Danio rerio: one gene and its partners. The protein of the gene in region 5 interacts with the protein of the main gene of each other region in a pairwise test. Links are inferred from orthologs where the notes say so. Each region holds a gene or a part of one and is shown on either strand. Other genes may lie near its edges.

Region 1 (4,060 bases), on a different chromosome or scaffold from region 5:
AGATTAATCTGCTATGGCTGTAATGAAGTGTCAACATTATTTCAGCAGTGTCTCAACATGCCCAAATTCCACCAATCTCTTTGATCAAGTTTCTCCGTAGACTTGCAACACAACACAGATTGAACAGAATACCCTTGCAGATTTTACATTAAGTTTTACTGAGGGACAAAGTTATGTTTTTGACCTGACTTATAACCAGAGTCGGGCAGTGGGCAGAGTGGATGTGTCCACAGGCTCGGTTGGATGTTGCCACAGCTCTTGAAACTAGGTCTCGCTCCTCATTGTTTGAACAGAGAGGCCCAACGTACAGGAATTGGCATCAACACACAAGATTGGAGAGAGGAGGGGACGAAAGCGAGACTACTGTTGCATGCCAACTCCAAGTGACATTTCTCCAACAGTGACCAACGTAACAAGCTTTTTATGTACTTACAGTCAACACTGACTATTAAACTGCTATATTCATAAATTACATCATATCACTGAATATCAAAAAATCCACAAACTTGTGGATGGTAATGCTAACTGATGGCAGAAGCACGGCAGAAATAAAAAATAAAAATAAAAAAAAAATAGTAATGTTTTTGGATATAAAAGCTGAATTTAGCCTCTCACTGCAGATGGACCTGCAAGGCATGACTTCTGTTCAATGCTTTAGAGAAATTATCCACAAACGGCTCAATTTACATCCTGAAATGAAACATCTGCTTGTTCTTTAAAAAAAATAAAAAATAAAAAAATTTGAAAACACACACATTCACAAGAGTTCATGCATCGGTGTATAATGTAAAATTAAAAATACATGTACTATGAATATTTTAGGAATAGAATTACTATATTTAAATTTGAATTTAAATCAAACAATATTGAGAACTACATGCTCAAATCAGATGCAAATTAGAAAACAGTTTTAAAATAATAAAAATAAAACAATATTACCTTTTTAACAGCAATGTTTGTTTGTTTTTTTAATCAGTTTTATAATAAATTAAGCTAGGTTAACAAACACCTTTTGCCATAAACTTTAATCGTATAGACAAATATAACACTTAACACACATACTGACTAGCCATTCTTAAACAGAAGTCACAATGCTTATCTTTTGAGTCACAATATTTAAATTAATCAAAAAGAAAAATTGACTTTTCGGCAGGGCTGCACAATTGTTTCAGTATCGATATTGCAATATGTGCACCTGCAATAGTCACATTGCAAGATATACAATGTGGAGTCTGGATTATAGTTGACCAGGAGCTAAAGAATTGTATTTAATTACAGTTTTTTTATACGGAATTTATGCAAAAGAAAAAAAAAAGGTTCCCTCGCTTAAAATTTTTGTCTTGTTTCTTGTCCAAATACGTACATTTCAAAGCAAAAACAAGATTGTTTTACTCCACTGGTAGAAAATTTAGCTTGTTTTTAGAAAAAAAAAACAAAAAAACTTTTATTTCTTCTAAAGTTGAAAACAAAAAAATATTTTTACTTGATCTAAAATTTTTGTTTAGATATTTGGACTAGTAATGAGACAAAAGGGAATTTTTTTTGCATTGTGGTTATTCAATTTCTGTACTTCAATACAGAAAACAGTCAAACAGAGCTATTCAACATATCTTGTGAAACTGTATTCATATTACAATAATTATTGCAGAAAAAAAAAAATCACAATATCAGATTTTTCCAACATCGTGCAGTCCTACTTTTCTGCATCTTAAAGAATGCATCTGTTGACGTAAACACATCCAAAAAACAGTCATTTAAGACATCACCCACATGCACAGAACGTTCCAGTTTCTATTTTCAATCAAGTATTTACATTAGAAGTATTTATGTCCTATTGGACGGATTAGATTTCCAACATTTAAAGCACCCCTAATAATATTAATGAAATTTAAATCACATTTGGCCAATTCATTCAGACTAATGTAATTACGTGTGAATTATTTTCTTCCTTTCCTGGACTGGGCTACAAGTCCTGATTACAAAACAGATTATTAGAAAAATACCTTCAAACTGTTTATATATATAAAAAAATAATAATAAAAAAATAAAAAAAAGTAATCTTAGAAACACATCATGTGTCTGTATAAGCATATAGATTATACTGTGCGTGTGTGTGTGTTGAAATCAGTATGACTGCGTGTACAATTCTTATCCCGTTGCTCTTTTTCTCCACCGGGATTGCTAATGTTTCCTTTCATTGATCGGACTCTTCACTGGCTCTTCCACCATTATCCTATACGCCACTTCCTACGCTGTCAGACCATCATCACGTGAAACCCAAGACCCTCAAAAGGACATGAAATGAGGACAGAGAACAAGGTGGAGAAGCTGGCGATGAGCAGGAGCCATAAAACCAACCACTCCACAGAATGCAAAACCCACTGCTGAAAAGCGGCCAAACGAGAATATGAACATATGAAATAGTACTGCTTAGGTTTTGGGCTGGAATAGGTCAGAACATAACAATGACCCCTAAATCTTTGCTGGTCAAGTCAAGTGTGTGTAATGCTCCAATGACGCAACGCACAACCAAAATGTAATTTCAGCATCATTCTCCAACAATTGAGCGGCACAGTTCTGCATCTATGCAGAGAGGAGGGTGTGTTTGCAGGCCTGTCGCAACCAGCACTTTTTAGGAATCCATCATACACCATTCCAGACTCTATATGCAAATCTGGATGTTTCATCATCATAAAGCACACGGTGTATGCATCAGAGAGTGTTACTTACAGTTCCCACTCCAGGACTTAAGGAGAGATTTGATGCTGATCTCAAAGAACACAGAATCCTGCAGACTCAGCATGACGCCACCAGAGGACTGTGGGTAAGTGAAGGCACTGGTTTCTGCAGCCAGTCCCGCTGGCTTTGCGCTCCAAACGTCCGTTGAGCTCACCCGCACATCTCGTCTTGCCTTCAGGCAGGCAAAGTTTCAGCCTCTGCCCAGGCTTGCGAAGAAGCGCATGCTGCCGAATGTGCAATGACACTCACGTGTGGGCGCATACACACACACACACACACACACTCACATCAGCTGCAGGGCTCCGAGAGGCCCATAAGATCCAGCAGAAGTGGAAACAAGTGAGCAAGACAAATTACGACAAGAAAAACGAGACAAAGCTGTGTCCTCAAATGTCTTGAGTGAGTATCATCTGCTCTGTACAGCCTGCAACGCTGCGAGGACAAACTTTGTTCCGTTAATGTCTCAGCGCCTAAGTGAACGAGAGAATGGTGAGGATGGACTCCCAGCAGAGAGTAGCAACACTCTCTCTTGCTCGCGTAACTCTTCCTGTCTGTGCTGGGTCCTAGTGCCTGAAGGATAAGCACCCACTTTCATTCACTCCGTATGGCTCTCTCTCCATCGCCCTCCCTCTCTCTTGCTCTGTGAAGAGAGCGTTTGTTTCAATGGCAGAATAGAAGGAGGGGAGGGTGATGTCATCAGCACGCTGCTAGCCTGCTCTGGCTTCACTCCAGCGCTTCAAATACATGTCATTACGGCTACCGCCTCACTCTCTCCTCTATTGCTCCATCCTTTTCTTCAGAGGCTTGTGAAAACGCAAACTTCCTGTAGCAACACTGATGTGTCACCACTAACTGCAGTAAAGTGAGAGAGGTAGAGACAAAGACTGAGGGGGAGACTGAAATCTAGAGTAGGTGTGTGAGACAGAAGTGACTTTAAAAAAAGGCTAAAAGGCAGTCGGGCAAGATGGAAGAGAATAGGACACGTAAAACATCTACTAACTACAAACTAGTTTCAAATACTTGTTTAACCATCTCTGCAGCTCACTTTACTGAGTTTTAGATAATCACGCATCACTACAATGCGAGGTTTCAGCTACATTCATTCTTCCATAGCAGGACGCAACACCAAAATTCTTTTCCACCACGGCTACAATACAGCTTTTCATTCAAACCTTCCGTTTTTGTTGGGGTTTTTTTTAATAGCAGGTTATAAATCACACCAAAACATATTAAAATCTAAGTGAATTATAACACCAAGCTATTTGGTAATTGTAGTAGTGCTGTGCAGTATTTGTTTAACCCTTTAACGTTACTTGCTGAC
Region 2 (3,517 bases), on a different chromosome or scaffold from region 5:
CAAAAAAGTGTCTTCAGCAAAAACCCATTCATGTGAAACTGAAGAATGAAGCAAGAATGCAAAAAAATGTGTTTAAAACATAGACTGAGCCCAACATAAAAGACGTTTTAAAATATCCTTATCTACTCTGCTGTAGATGATTTTGAGATTTTTAATTATACAGTAAACAAAACCTGGCTAAAACAGGGTGTACGTACACAGCCCGTGGCTCGGTGAAGACGTCTGCATGTATGTGCATCATGAGGTCACCGCCTGCTGTGTACTCCATCACAAAACACACATGTTCTGGAGTCTGGAAACACGCAAACAGGTTGACAAGGAAGGGGTGTTGTGCACCGTTCACTGCCTCGAAAATACGCTTCTCACACATCAAACTGATGAAAAAACAGAGAAAGAAAATAAAGAAATCAGGAACAAACTTCAACTCAAAGCAAAATCCCCGAAAAAAAAGCTCTTATGTTTACCTTTCTACTTCATCTCTGGCTACAATGTCTCCTTTCTTTAGAGCTTTAATGGCATACATACTCCCTGACTTCTTATATTCCGCCAGCAGCACCTGATAGACACAGATATGACATGAGAAACTAAACTCAAAGAGAAAGAGAAGCTGAGGGTGAAGAAGGCAGAAAATCACCTTTCCAAAATGGCCTCTGCCAAGAACTGCAATTAGTCGGAAATCCTGCAGGCTCAGAGAAGTCTTCTTCTGTTTACTACACACACACACACACACACACACACACACACACACACAGACACACACACTTAAAAAACACAAAAATACCTTAGATATAGTGGGAGTTATGTGTTTGACGGTACCTGCTCAATGAGTGTGTTCTGATAGGCGTGGTGACGTCTGGAGCAGAGAGAGGCTCGGTGGACGGCTGCCTCTCCTATGAAAGAAAAAAAGAAAGGGGAGGAGTTAGAGACCAATGGGAGGGGCTAAATACAAAGAGGAGGGGCTGCAGATAGATAGGAGGGACTAAATTTATAGAGGAGTGATTATAGTTGAGAGGTGTTCATTATAAAGAAATTTAATAGGTTTATCAAGACTTAATAGGTTAAATATAAAAAGTAGTAGTTACAGGCAGATGGGAGGAGCTTAATATAAAGAGGAGGAGCTGTAGATATATGGGAGGGGCTCATTATAAAGAAGTTACATATACTCAGAACAGTTTACATATAAAGAGGAGGGGTTATGGATAGATGGGAGTGGCTTGATTTAACGGGGAGGTGTTATGAAGATGAATGGGCAAAATATAGGGGTATAAAATATAGATTTGAGGGGCTTTATATAGAGAGGAGGAGATGCAGACTGATGGGAGGGGTGCATTATAAAGAGGAGGAGTTGCAGGTTTAAATGGAGGGGCTTAATATAAAGATGAGTTGCAGATAGTTAGAAGGGGCTAAATATAAAGAGAAGAAGTTATGGATGGGACGTGCTTAATATTGAGAGAAGAAGATGCAGACAGATAGAAGGGGTGCATTATAAGGAGGAGGAGTTGCAGATATAAATGGAGGGGCTTAATATAAAGAGGAAGAGTTATACATAGTTGGGATGGGCTTAATATAAAGAGGAGGGGTTACAGATAGATGGAAGGGACTTCATATAAAGAGGAGTTACAGATAGATAGGAGAGTCTTAATAAAGGAGTTACATTAATAAAGGAGTTACATATAGATAAAACAGATCAAATATAAAGAGAAGGGGTTACAGATAGATGGGAGGGGCTTAATATAAAGAGGAGAATTCACCGATAGATGGGAGGGGCCTAATATAAAGAAGAGGAGTAACAGGTAGATGGGAGGGGCTTAATATAAAGGAGTTACATATAGATAAAACAGATTAAATATAAAGAGGAGGGGTTAAAGATAGATGGGAGGGGCTTAATATAAAGAGAAGTTACCAATAGATGGGAGGGGCTTAATATAAAGAAGAGGAGTAACAGGTAGATGGGAGGGGCTTAATATAAAGGAGTTACATATAGATAAAACAGATTAAATATAAAGAGGAGGGGTTACAGATAGATGGGAGGGGCTTAATATAAAGAGGAGAAGTTACCAATAGATGGGAGGGGCTTAATATAAAGAAGAGGAGTAACAGGTAGATGGGAGGGGCTTAATATAAAGGAGTTACATATAGATAAAACAGATTAAATATAAAGAGGAGGGGTTAAAGATAGATGGGAGGGGCTTAATATAAAGAGAAGTTACCAATAGATGGGAGGGGCTTAATATAAAGAAGAGGAGTAACAGGTAGATGGGAGGGGCTTAATATAAAGGAGTTACATATAGATAAAACAGATTAAATATAAAGAGGAGGGGTTACCGATAAATGGGAGGGGCTTAATATAAAGAGGAGGAGTTACAGGTAGATGGGAGGGGCTTAATATGAAGGAGTTACATATAGATATAACAGATTAAATATAAAGCGGAGGGGTTAAATATAGATGGGAGAGGTTTAACATAAATAGGAGTTGCAGATAGTTAGAAGGGGATAAATGTAAAGAGGAGAAGTTACAGATAAATGAGAGGGGTTCATTATAAAGTAGTTACATATAGATAAAACGGGGAATATAAATAAGAGGAGTTAAGGGTGGATGAGAGGGTCTACATATAAAAAAAGAATCACAGAAAAACAGGAGGCTACAGAGATGAAAAGAATAAGAGAGAAGCTGCTTTATAAGAGGGGCTAAATATAGAGGCGTTATACAGTAGTTAAACAGGAGGAATTACATTTAAAGAGGAGGGGTTAAAGTAGATGGGAGGGGTTATGGAGGAAGGGAAAAAGCTTACATATGAGAGGATTTAAAGTAAAAAAAAAAGAAAGAATAAAGACGTTAAAAGAGAGAGAAAGTCTCTAACCGGAGTGCTTATATCTGTCACCTCCCGCCGGATGTCCACCTTCATTGGTGAATCAAAATCTAAACTCAACTTCTCCACTGATATCTCCCTGTAACAAACACATATGTTAGTAACTGCAAAAAAATATCTAAGAACAAATGTAATTTCAGTTAAGTATGGACATTTTAGACTTTTATAAATAATAAACAGGATGACAAAGATGTAAATCTACCATTTTATCTAAATATGTACTATTTGTGTAACATTATAACCTTAACAAAAAGATACACAAGCAACCGTTTTTGTTTTGTTGACACTGTTATTACAAATTGCGGAAGATGGTACAGGCACATCTGATGGTGTGTGTGATTTACCCAGTCTGTAGAGTGTGCGCGTTAGGGCTGTAGGTTCCTGTGTTGTTGACGGTTGGTATGGCGTTCCTCAGTAACCTCACGAATGTGCCAATATCAACGTTCATCTGTCGAGCTCGCAAAAATGCTTTACCTGTGTATGATCACAAACAAACACATACACAAAAGAGAAAAGTTACAACACTGACCACTAGATGGAGCTCACTGACCTCATGCCATCATTTACCCATCCTCTTGTTCCAAATCTGTTTGATTTTCTTTCTTCTATTGAACACAAAGGATGATATACTGAAGAATGGTGAAAAA
Region 3 (4,144 bases), on a different chromosome or scaffold from region 5:
GTTTTTCTCTTCTTCTATTGTCCAATTTTGGTGAGCCTGTGTGAATTGTAGCTTCAGTTTCCTGTTCTTAGCTGACAGGAGTGGCACCCCATGTGGTCTTGTGCTGCTGTAGCTTGTCCGTCTCAATTTTGATGTGTTGTGTGTTCAGTGATGCTCTTCTGCATACCTCGGTTGTAACGAGTCGTTATTGGAGTTACTGTTGCCTTTCTATCAGCTGGAACCAGTCTGGCCATTCTCCTCTGGCATCAACAATGCATTTGTGCCCACAGATCTGCCGCTCACTGTATATTTTCTTTTTTTTTTGGTCCATTCTCTGTAAACCCTAGAGATGGTTGTGCATGAAAATCCAAGTAGATCAGCAGTTTCTGAAATACTCAGATTACCAACAACCATGCCACATTCAAAATCACCTTTCTTCCCCATTCTGATGCTCTGAGGTTTGAACTGCAGCAGATCATCTTGACTATGTCTACATGCCTAAATGCATTGAGTTGCTTCCATGTGATTGGCTGATTAGAAATTTGCATTAATAAGCCTAACATACCTAATAAAGTGGCCGGTAAGTGTGTGTGTGTGTTTTGTCTTATATACATACATTCAGCATCTTTAAATCAGTAACTGAATATGTATGTGCTTTATCTGATGTTTTTAATTCTTTCCCTCATTAAAGAACACAAGCACACTTGCTTACAAAAGCAAGTGAAAATGTGAACGTGCATTTTTGAGATGCACTCAAAGACCCTGAACATGAAATCAACTTTTTTTTCAAATAATATTACCTCAAGTAAGAACTGACGGGTGGATTCCTTCAACCACAACCTGCTAGATCACACATGCAGAATGAGGCAGGAAGGGGCCGCCCACAGAGAAACGAACGGTAGTTTATTTGAAAGCGTCATATCTTACTGTAAAGCAGAATTTCTGTCATTTGCACTTTGCAATGTTTGCTTGCAACACCACATCAGAAGCAAAAGAGCAGCTCGCTCAGCTAGCATAATATGAGCGTGTTCAAGCACATAATGTGCCCGCTGTCTCTGATTCTGTCTTTCCATCACTTAGTAGGCAGTATTGTCCACTTCCTTTCTGAAACTCAGCATAATGTTGACACTTCTGGCTGCCTGCAGCTCTGTAGCAAACGGATGATCTCAGATTCTGTCGGTCACATGATTTCAGACTCTCTTCAAATCACTGGTCAAATAGACAGAACATTAACCAGACAAGAGAGAAGTAGAAGTGATGACAGTACTTCTGTCAAAGAGGGGAAGTTAATGCAGAGAGGGAACTCGTATGCATTCTAATTTGACTAAACTAAACTAAACACTGCACAGCTAAGCTCATGCTTTCAATAGTAGCACTCTGTGATTTTAAAACCATTGCTTAAGTGTCACACTTTCACACTTGCAGAAAACCACATGAAATACATCGAGAGCTCAACTGCACATTAACATTAGCATTTACAGCCTCATAAAAGTGTTTAATGCAAGAAAAAAGCTCACTTAACAGTTTCCAATGAACAAAACAGTCAACTGTCAAACAAACTGACAATAACTAACCTATTGAACCCAATACCAACTAATTCTAATCTGAGGTAACCATTTTAAAGAACTGAGCGGACACTGCATTTGAAATAACTCGTGACACTGGTGGCACAAAATAATGAGGTTTTTAATTCACAAGGAGAAAAAGATGAAAGAAAAAAAGGAAGGAGCAAAGCATATGACTTGCATTGCATCTCACTGTGGAGACCCCATGGCCTTTCAATTACAAACACATGCTCCTACTAGTTCGAGTTACTCTATGAATCGGTTCTTTTGAATGGTCGTTTCACAGTCAGTTGAACAATTCAAGTTAAACGATTACTGTGGTTGATAATGTCCTATATATTTAATTAATTTGAATACGCTTTTGTTTATACAAATTTATCCAAAAGTTAAGAATTGAACACCAGAACGTCAAAACAAATCGCTCGGTTCTATTTTTAGCCGATTCAATTAAAGATTCGGCTCAAAAGAACGATTCGTTAGCCAATAAGAACTCGCTTGCAGCTATCAGAATGGATGAACTTGATATGTCAACTGTTCTTTATAAGAATTTGCAGTATTTTGTTTTAAGAAGCTGCCTTGTGTGTCTAAACTACAGGAGAAAACAACCTTATTAACCCTGCCACAAATATACGCTCAAACTGGCAACCCAGGAAGTGGGGGAGACTTTGCTTCCCCCAAAAGTTGGCACTGCTTGTGCTTTTGTGGAGGAAAATAGCTATTTAAACTGAACACCTCATCCACACACTGAAAACTGACTCAACACTACAAGTAGGCTGCGTTAAGAAATGCACAGCAAGGTCAAATCACAGACTACATCCATAACTCGAGCGTTTTATACAGCAACAGTCTGCGTAAACACTTACCGGTGCTTTGCGTCTTTTACTGCGCGTCCACCGCTTACGAACCGAACGCAGCAACACTCATCCTCATCAAGCATCTACACAAACACAGAGGAACACAAGTTTTGGGCCACTCCTTCATGGCAGAAACACACACGCAAGTTCTCCCCGCTGTTTCCGCCCAGCGTCCTGCCTACAAGTCCATCACATTAGCTGGAATAAACATTCAAAGCTCATCGCTTGAACGCCGCAAGTAGCAATTCAGCACATATAAGCAGTATCACATCTCTTTAAATGAGAGAAGTACAACCCAATGTCTTGAATTGGACGCGATATCTTTTTAATTCGTTTCTTTACCCAGTTTTTCTTCCTCCAGCAGAACAGCAGACTCTTCGTTCTCTTTATCCGGGACATTCGTCTGTGATGCAACGTCCAGATGTGACTGACTGACTGACTGACTGACTGAGCTCAAACATCTGTCAAACTGTTGCAAGTGTGTGTGTGACACAAAACTGAGCTCTGTGTGGGGAAAAGTCACAGACATGTCAGTCACATTTTGGAAAAAGCTAAATAAAATAATGTTTTTTGACAGAAAACTCTTTTGTTGTTTAAATGTTGCAACTATTTGATTAAGAATACAACAGTATCCGTAGCGAGTGGGGGGGGGGGGGGGGGGGGGTTGTCTTTTTCTCTAAAAGTAGACCATTTTGATGATATTTTATGAAATATTTTGTGCTGGATTAGCTTGTCTTCTTCTATCACGTGCATGCTTTTTACAGTACCAAAATGGTGACTGTTTTGTCAAGTTGCTTCTAATAAAGTGCAAATTTTGTCAGTCCAAGCACACAACATTTAGTTTTTTTATTGTTATGAGGATTTCCCATAGACATACAGCAAGGGGTAGATTTCATGTTTTTGGGGCCCCAAGCAATTCCAGCCATGCGGCCCAAGTCCTGAAATGCACCCTTTCTACTCTTATTTATTTTTTATCTATATTGCTGTTTGTTATATCACTCAATCTTCTTTTCTACATTTTAAATGTGTTTTTAAAAAAATGAATTTGCAAGTAAAAATAATGCATTCATTTTTTTATAAATATGACTGCTGGACCACTCAATGATGGATATTTTATTTTGTAATATTATTATTACATAACATTACATTATTATAAGACTATATAGGAATTATCAATTTATGTCACAGATGACGTCACACAGGTTCAACCAGGCATTCCGGTTGCAAAAAAGACCAGTTGCAATAGCAAACATGTCGTGTTGTGCGGTAGGATGCCAAATTCTAAATTAAATATGAAATTATTTTAAATATTAAATTAAATTAATTAAATAAAAAATAAATTAAGCCCAAACTCCAAACACCACACAGCTTTTAATGCCAACTGCAGACATCTTTGACAAACAGCCATCAGGAGAGCTGAATGGTGTGAGGACCTAATTAAAAATGCTCGACTCTGCAGTTCTTATGTTATATCAAGTAAGTACACTCTATGCTGAATCATACTCATTACTCGTTTTTGATTGCAGCAATGATTTAACAAACAGTTAAATTTGGTTAATTAAACTGCGGACAGTGAATGCTTAGAATAAAATGTAAAAATGTACATTCACATACCCTGCCGTACAGGTGGATTTCGCTGTCAGAATGCAGTTATTTTGCTTGTTGGTGATTACCCAGGCCTTGTACAGTTCCGTCGTCTTTCCTTGTCTTTGGCTAGGCAGAACCTCGGTTTTTATCACTACCGTT
Region 4 (3,517 bases), on a different chromosome or scaffold from region 5:
TTATTTCATATATTAAGGTTTTAGTTATGATTCTCTGCTGGATACTCCCAAAATAATTCAGCAGAAATCCACAGATTTTTACCAAAATTCTCTGCAAAAATAGCAAAAAACGTCCGCAGATTCAGTCTGGCCCTGCCTATTGCACAGGTATGTTTGTGGGAGTAGCCAAAATACATTGTACAAGTCCAAATTGTCATAAATGCCAATGAAATTTTGTGCATGCTTTTAACAACCATCATTAAAGGCTGGTTTACACTTCTGCGTCGAGTGATCAGCGTGACCCATGGTGTCTGGCTTGCGTGTAGCCGTGCATTTATACATCTGGTTGCTGTTTGTGTTGCTCTGCAATAACACTTCCAAAAAGCTATTTGGCAGTAGGGGTTTTTGTTCATTTGTGTTTAGTTTCTTCGTGTGCGTTTTGTTTTTTATAAACGCTACCTAAATGTACAAGTAGCTAAAACTCGCTCATTTAAAAGCGGGAACGGTGGCGAAACTTTAATCATGAAGTAAACGCAAAACAAAAGTTTCCATCTGGAGCTCCTTCATGGGACTCGACACATGTAAACACTCGCTTCATCAGGCTCGCAGCCATCAGCACCGCCCACATTCGTCACAGCTACCAAGCTGACCAATCACAGAGCTTGCGCTATGCGTCGTTGTGACATGTAGTTACATTTTTTGAGAGGTCAGTGTCGACATCAGCCATGGCGAGGGCTATGCGACCACGCGAAGGCTGCGCTGGACCATACGCATGCGCTTGACGCAGAAGCATACATCAGCCTTAAGTGTCATGACGCATTCATAATGACATTTTAAAATGTAGAGATGACATTGTTTGTGATGACAACATTACATAAAACCTGTTTTTGTCTGCGGCATGACAGCTTGACATTACCAAGACAACAAAATGTGTCATAAATCTGTCATAAACATGACTGTCATGAAGCAATTAAAAAGCTACGATTTTCAAATTCAATCACTGTGTTTGTGTTTAATTTTAGCAATTAGGCTCAGAAAATGCATAACTGGACAATATGCAATCAGCAGCCAAGTATAAAGAGTTATCAGTCTCCAGTATTTGCTGAATTTTTAATATCAGTGCATCCTTAACTAAAATAACACTGGCATTCTAATTTATTTTTGTTTTATTGAACCCTAAAAATGGCGACGTAGTGGCGCAGTGTGTAGCACGTTCTCCTCACAGCAAGAAGGTCGCTGGGTCGAGCCTCGGCTCAGTTGGCGTTATTGTGTGGAGTTTGCATGTTCTCCCTGCGTTCGCATGGGTTTCCTCCGGGTGCTCCAAAGACATGCGGTACAGGTGAATTGGGCTGGTTAAATTGTCCGTAGTGTATGATAAGTTGGCGGTTCATTCCGCTGTGGCGACCCCGGATTAATAAAGGGACTAAGCCGACAAGAAAATGAATGAATGAATGAATGAATAAACCCTGAAAATCAGTTTTATAATAAACAGACTGTTATCATTTACTGGTGTGGACACAAATTTAGCTACAGTTATGCTTCAAGTTAATGTTATCGTTCTTTGAGTGAACTTGCCCTAAAGCTAATAACATTTAGTATCATTAAACGTGCAGTAGGTGATTGTCTTCAGAAACTTATTTTGTTGTGCTGGTTGAAACTGTCTTTACATTCCAATAGTAATGATCTATATGTATTTATATGTATTGTTATATTCTGGGTAAGGCATAAAACTAAAAAAATGTTCATCCAATTAAAATTTGTTGGGCCAACATCTCCCATAATTCTGATTAGACGCCCAAACTGTCTGTCAACAAATGTAGACTTGTACGTCAGCACAAATCTGTTGACGCATATCCATCGCTTGCGTGTTCTTGTGCGCCGTGCTCACATGCACACAAGAGAGAGTGACATCGGTAAAAACAAACGCTGAATCAAAACTTTTTAAAATCCTCAATCAATATTGAAGTTAGTTTAGCACGCTGGAGGAAGGACGACACCAAAGCTGAAGTATTTCTGTTCAACAGGTAATGTCCTGTTTTAAAACTCTTTTACTCACGCAAAGATGGTGTAGATTGTATTGCCTTACAAATGGGTTATATGCACAGAAGTGTTGTTCAGCCACTGAAATCTTTTGGTGAAAGATTGACGTGACTATTTTCAGTTTTATAAGGCTTTTTACAGGATTGATAATGTAGGTTTTTATTGAGTTTAACAACAAATCATAAGTAAATAGCGCTATTCCGCCTAGCCTGCTTTACTGAGGTGAAGTTGGTTTTATATTCACATAGGTTCATTTTCGAACAATGACAGGCACTTTAGAACAAAGACTGAGAGAGTGAGACCAGAGATCCTTACATGCATAAAATATTGCACATTAGGACAAGTTTTGCTTGCTACACAACTGAAAACGTGCTTTTAAAGAAAACAGTTAATGGGTATATGCATGGGGACTTTTAATTTTGAATAAGCAATGAAAAATTAATAATTCAATCATAGCATGTAAGATCAGACTTGTTTTAAATTAATGATGTTCACTGCCTGATTGACATATGATATAAAGTGGGTCTCACAGCTGACAAGAAACACTGCATTAAATTCCAGTGTCATGTCATTAAAATATGAAAAATCATTTTACCACAGTATTTTCAATGGAGTTTCGGCACTCGCCTGCTGCTCCTGACGGTGCCTGCATTTAAACAATCTTTCACCTTGTTCTACCGTTGAACAATAAAATAAATGCTGAAGTCTATTTACTGATTATATTTAAATTAAATTAAATTATCGATGCTGTAAAAGAAACCTTGTGAAATTAAAGCCTTTCAGCAGTAAGTTTATCAGTGGCTGAAGAACACTTGTTATGTATGTAGTGCATTAAGCACACTATGGTATAATAGCGAGTGTGAATATCTGACCTCGTTTGATGTCGTCCAGCTGAGGCTCTGGTGAAGGGTTGTCTTTGGTAGGGGAGGTTTTGGCGCCCAGTCCTGGTTTGTTTGGCGTGCGGAACTGTGGGGTCGTCAGCTGGTTCGCTCTCACTGACTGCTGCTCGATACGAGCCTGGATTTTACTGCTGCCTTCAGCTCTAAAAACACAACATCACACACCTTTCCAGGTCATATTACAGCGCAAATGCTGCACAATGTGACAAAATCATATGGCTTCTGTCTGTCATGTTGTTAGGACACGGTGTTAGTTATCGTAACAACACTACTGCAACTGTTTACATCATATAACGCTCTACAGGATTTATGTCTGCTCACCGTGTTTTCTTGACCTGTATGCTGCTGCTCAGCTTCTCCAACATAAACTCCCCAGTGTCGTGATTGATGATGAGAACGCAGTCTTTCTGATAAGGCCTTTTGTTGCCCTTAAACACCGTCATTGGTGGAGTGGAGCCCTAAAGAGAAATCAGAGTATTCTAGAAAGGCTGTCATACATAAGCGGATATAAATGTTAAAGAGAACGCTGCTCTTACTGGTATGTGTGGTAAAGTGATGGTAACCTCATCTCCTTTTCCCACTTGTAAATCTCCTTCACA
Region 5 (3,517 bases):
TTGTCTGAAGCATCATGTCTGGGGTGTGTCTAGTAGATCTAATCGGATCCCTTATGCCTAGTTCACACTAGAGGATTTTAAGCCTGATTTGAGCTCGATTTGGAAGTTAACGAGCTCGCCGACAGATCGGGCTGTGATCGGGAAGAAATCTGCGGGTGCTCGGTGCTCGCCGCTCTTTATGTGTGAACTACTAAACAACACATCAACGAGGCTCGCTGACGCGTCGCCGACACCTCGCAGACGGAAATCCAACATTCAGCATGCTAAATATTCCAGAGCAGTCGGCCGGCTCAACCCCACGTGTGGTCAGATATAGTAACGAGCTGCAGCCAATGAGAGAGCATATCAGCATAAGCTGAATGCCTGTGTGTTCAGGAGCTCAGCAGAAACATCTGTGATTGGTCAGAATGGGCATCAACGCACTCGCTTCATTCTGCGTTAGCACAGACATGAGAGTAGGCTATATTAACAGTGGAACTAGAATTCTTTAACTATTAGAATTACCATACTGCTCATTCTGACCGTTCTTATATAAACGCCATACTGTCACAACATATTTACATTCAAAGCTATTATTAAGATATTATAATTAAGCTTTGAATGTTTGGCATCATATTTAATGACACTATTACCCTAAAAATATAATATTTTTTGGTAATACAGCCTATAAATATGTAGTTAAGATACTAAAACACTTAAAGGTCTTGGCTTTCATTTTCACTTTCAAACAGGAGCTATTTAACAGCACAGAATATGCTGTTTTGAAAGATATCTGAAGTAAATTGATGTTTTTGCCATCAGAAAGTTTTGTTTATGTTAGCAGGAAGTTGCCAGGCAAGAAAATGCACACACATTTAAAGTCACAGCGAAAAGTATCAGCCATGCATGCAGTCATTTTGACCAATATGGTAATTTAAGGCAGAAATGCTCAGTTCTTTACTGTTTTGTAATAAAAAAAATAACAATGTCAGAAAGAAATACACTGATAGTTAGAAAACGGCAGGGTGTTATAAATATGTTAGTTTTATTTCAAAGAGTTATAAAATTACAAAAATTAAAAACTCTCTGTATATCTTTCCACTGGAACCTTGCAGATGAGTGATTAATCCGCTGATAAATCAGCTGATTTGACTATGTTTTTAAATGCTTTCTCCAAAGCTTGAAACGCTGTCAGTGATGTCATCAGCACACAAGCAGCCAATAGTGTTCCGCTTTTTCTGACGACTCCTCCCTCAAATTTTCATTGGCTGTGGTTTGGTATCTTGAATGAGCTGATGGGGAATGAGTTGTTGTCAGATCATGTAGTGTGTGACCCCCCTCTTGTGGATCGTTCACGGAGTGTTGCGTAGTGTGAACACCACAGAGATTAAAAGACACAAAGTCAAGTCATGTAGTGTGAACAGCACAGTGATCTGCTGATGTTTAAAATCCTGTAGTGTGAACTAGGCTTTATTTGTGTCAGTACTTGATCCCCATTATAAAGATCATTAATATGCGAAAATAAAGCCTCACACACCCGAATTGATCCAGAAATTATCCATCCCTAAAGCTACTATATTTGTGACTATCAGTTCGTTGCCATATTTCTGCTAGAGCCCTTATTTTGCATTATAAAAGCTCATTTTTTTGTTTTTGGGGGTCTTCAACAACAGGCTGATATGCATGCAAAGTCAAAAAACACTTTCATTGAAAACAAGTAAAAAGCAAATATACTTTAATATGTTCTGTATATTATTAAACTAGATGGAGCAACATTACAACAGAAGCTTAAAATGTATTCAGTCTGATAAAACCGCACTGCTTCTACCCACATTATTCCAATCTGAAAAACCAGAAGCACTTGACTATGGCATAATATAAGTTCTGCTGCTTTTGTTCCATGTTCATCTATCATCAGCAATAGCTTCAGCATTTCAGCCTGACTCTGCTTATTACTACCATGATAAGAAATTCTGAATGCTTTAGCTCATCCATGATCATAATTTCTGCAGGACATTATTACATAAATATATATATATATATATATATATATATATATATATATATATATATATATATATATATATATATATATATATATATATATATATTCATATTTGTACCATATCAGTCAAAACTTTATGCAGTAGCCGTTTACCACAGTTTTAGAAGCTACTAAGGAATCAAAGGTCTTGAGCACACTGCAAAATTAGGTGAATTACAAAATTTGCACGAAACTGAAATATCCAATCAGCATCAAGAACAGGACAAGTTGAGATCTGTTTCTTCATTTATTCATTCATTTTTTTTTTGGCTTAGTCCCTTTATTAATCTGGGGTCGCCACAGCGGAACGAACCGCCAACTTATCCAGCACGTTTTTAATGCAGCAGGTGCCCTTCCAGCCGCAACCCATCTCTGGGAAACATCCACACACATTCATTCACACACACACACACACACACACACACACACACACACACACACACACACACACACACACACACACACACACACACACACACACACACACACACACACTACGGGCAATTTACCCTACCCAATTCAACTGTACTGCATGTCTTTGGACTGTGGGGCAAACCGGAGCACCTGGAGGAAACCCACGCGAATGCAGGAAGAAAATGCAAACTCTACACAGAAAAGCCAACTGAGTCGAGGCTCAAACCAGCGACCCTCTTGCTGTGAGGTGACAGCACTACCTACTGCGCCACTGCGTCACCCCTGTTTCTTTATTACAACAGATATTAATATTAATTCATCACCCAAAACGAAAGAAGTTTTATGTGTTTATGCATTTTCATTACAATTTTTTTCTTTTTATTTCTTTGGTTAGGAAAAATTTTACAATTTATGCTAGTTTTGCTCAACACACATCATCAACCTTAACCCTCTGGATGGCTGTTTGGTCATTTTAACAGAAAGAAATGTGCTTTTTTAGTACAAATGGTTCAAAAACTTTTTAAGGTTTAAAAATAAAGGTTTTTTAAGCACTTGCCATGGAAACAAAAAAAAAAAATTTAAAGACTTTTCATGGTCAAACAAGACAGCTTTGATAGAGAATGGAAAAGCTATTTCAGTTACATATTTAAGTAGACATTTGTATACTCTATTGTATGCTCAAACTGGTTACTGGGTCATAAATGGATTAAGCTTAAATAATTTAGTATGATTCCCTAAAAATAAAATATAATATTAAAAACATTATTAAATTAAATTATACAACATCAATATGGCATGAATCTATAAACCAGTTTACCAGTCCACAATATGCATTTACCTGCTGAAGTTGCTGCTCAGTGGAAAACCCAAGGCCGTACACAGTGTTCGCTCTGCTGTCTGCCCACTGACCAAACTTCTGTGATGTTTTTGTGAAAGTCATATTAGGTGTGATTGTGCTGTTGATAATGGCCTGCATAACAGTAAAAACAAAACAAAAAATTTAGCAAAATTAAGATGCAAATAACGCATATGACATGCTAAAATTGTTTTGAGGAGAGGTCTAAACATTAAACATCCCAA

The links.
Region 1: the proteins of homer3b (region 5) and fryl interact in binary tests that used the Homo sapiens proteins (3 or more experiments, as listed by UniProt). The two-hybrid records come from large-scale screens. The link is inferred for Danio rerio from reciprocal best matches to the Homo sapiens genes HOMER3 and FRYL.
Region 2: the proteins of homer3b (region 5) and pkn1a interact in binary tests that used the Homo sapiens proteins (3 or more experiments, as listed by UniProt). The two-hybrid records come from large-scale screens. The link is inferred for Danio rerio from reciprocal best matches to the Homo sapiens genes HOMER3 and PKN1.
Region 3: the proteins of homer3b (region 5) and wipf1b interact in binary tests that used the Homo sapiens proteins (3 or more experiments, as listed by UniProt). The two-hybrid records come from large-scale screens. The link is inferred for Danio rerio from reciprocal best matches to the Homo sapiens genes HOMER3 and WIPF1.
Region 4: the proteins of homer3b (region 5) and eaf1 interact in binary tests that used the Homo sapiens proteins (3 or more experiments, as listed by UniProt). The two-hybrid records come from large-scale screens. The link is inferred for Danio rerio from reciprocal best matches to the Homo sapiens genes HOMER3 and EAF1.

Annotation. Positions count from the first base shown.
Region 1 is NC_133195.1:25,915,723-25,919,782, reverse strand, and holds the start of fryl (protein furry homolog-like), read right to left. Parts: upstream 2,804-4,060; coding exon 2,731-2,803; intron 1-2,730. UniProt on the Homo sapiens protein: Plays a key role in maintaining the integrity of polarized cell extensions during morphogenesis, regulates the actin cytoskeleton and plays a key role in patterning sensory neuron dendritic fields by promoting avoidance between homologous dendrites as well as by limiting dendritic branching.
Region 2 is NC_133176.1:49,108,215-49,111,731, reverse strand, and holds part of pkn1a (serine/threonine-protein kinase N1), read right to left. Parts: intron 3,345-3,517; coding exon 3,215-3,344; intron 2,950-3,214; coding exon 2,862-2,949; intron 891-2,861; coding exon 817-890; intron 711-816; coding exon 635-710; intron 557-634; coding exon 465-556; intron 375-464; coding exon 198-374; intron 1-197. UniProt on the Homo sapiens protein: PKC-related serine/threonine-protein kinase involved in various processes such as regulation of the intermediate filaments of the actin cytoskeleton, cell migration, tumor cell invasion and transcription regulation.
Region 3 is NC_133181.1:11,765,604-11,769,747, forward strand, and holds the start of wipf1b (WAS/WASL-interacting protein family member 1), read right to left. Parts: upstream 2,804-4,144; 5' UTR 2,741-2,803; intron 2,494-2,740; exon of another isoform or gene 2,482-2,493; 5' UTR 2,408-2,481; intron 1-2,407. UniProt on the Homo sapiens protein: Plays a role in the reorganization of the actin cytoskeleton. Contributes with NCK1 and GRB2 in the recruitment and activation of WASL.
Region 4 is NC_133191.1:7,232,721-7,236,237, reverse strand, and holds part of eaf1 (ELL-associated factor 1), read right to left. Parts: coding exon 3,455-3,517; intron 3,377-3,454; coding exon 3,240-3,376; intron 3,062-3,239; coding exon 2,892-3,061; exon of another isoform or gene 1-2,891. UniProt on the Homo sapiens protein: Acts as a transcriptional transactivator of ELL and ELL2 elongation activities.
Region 5 is NC_133186.1:13,952,926-13,956,442, reverse strand, and holds part of homer3b (homer protein homolog 3b), read right to left. Parts: intron 3,408-3,517; coding exon 3,276-3,407; intron 1-3,275. UniProt on the Homo sapiens protein: Postsynaptic density scaffolding protein. Binds and cross-links cytoplasmic regions of GRM1, GRM5, ITPR1, DNM3, RYR1, RYR2, SHANK1 and SHANK3.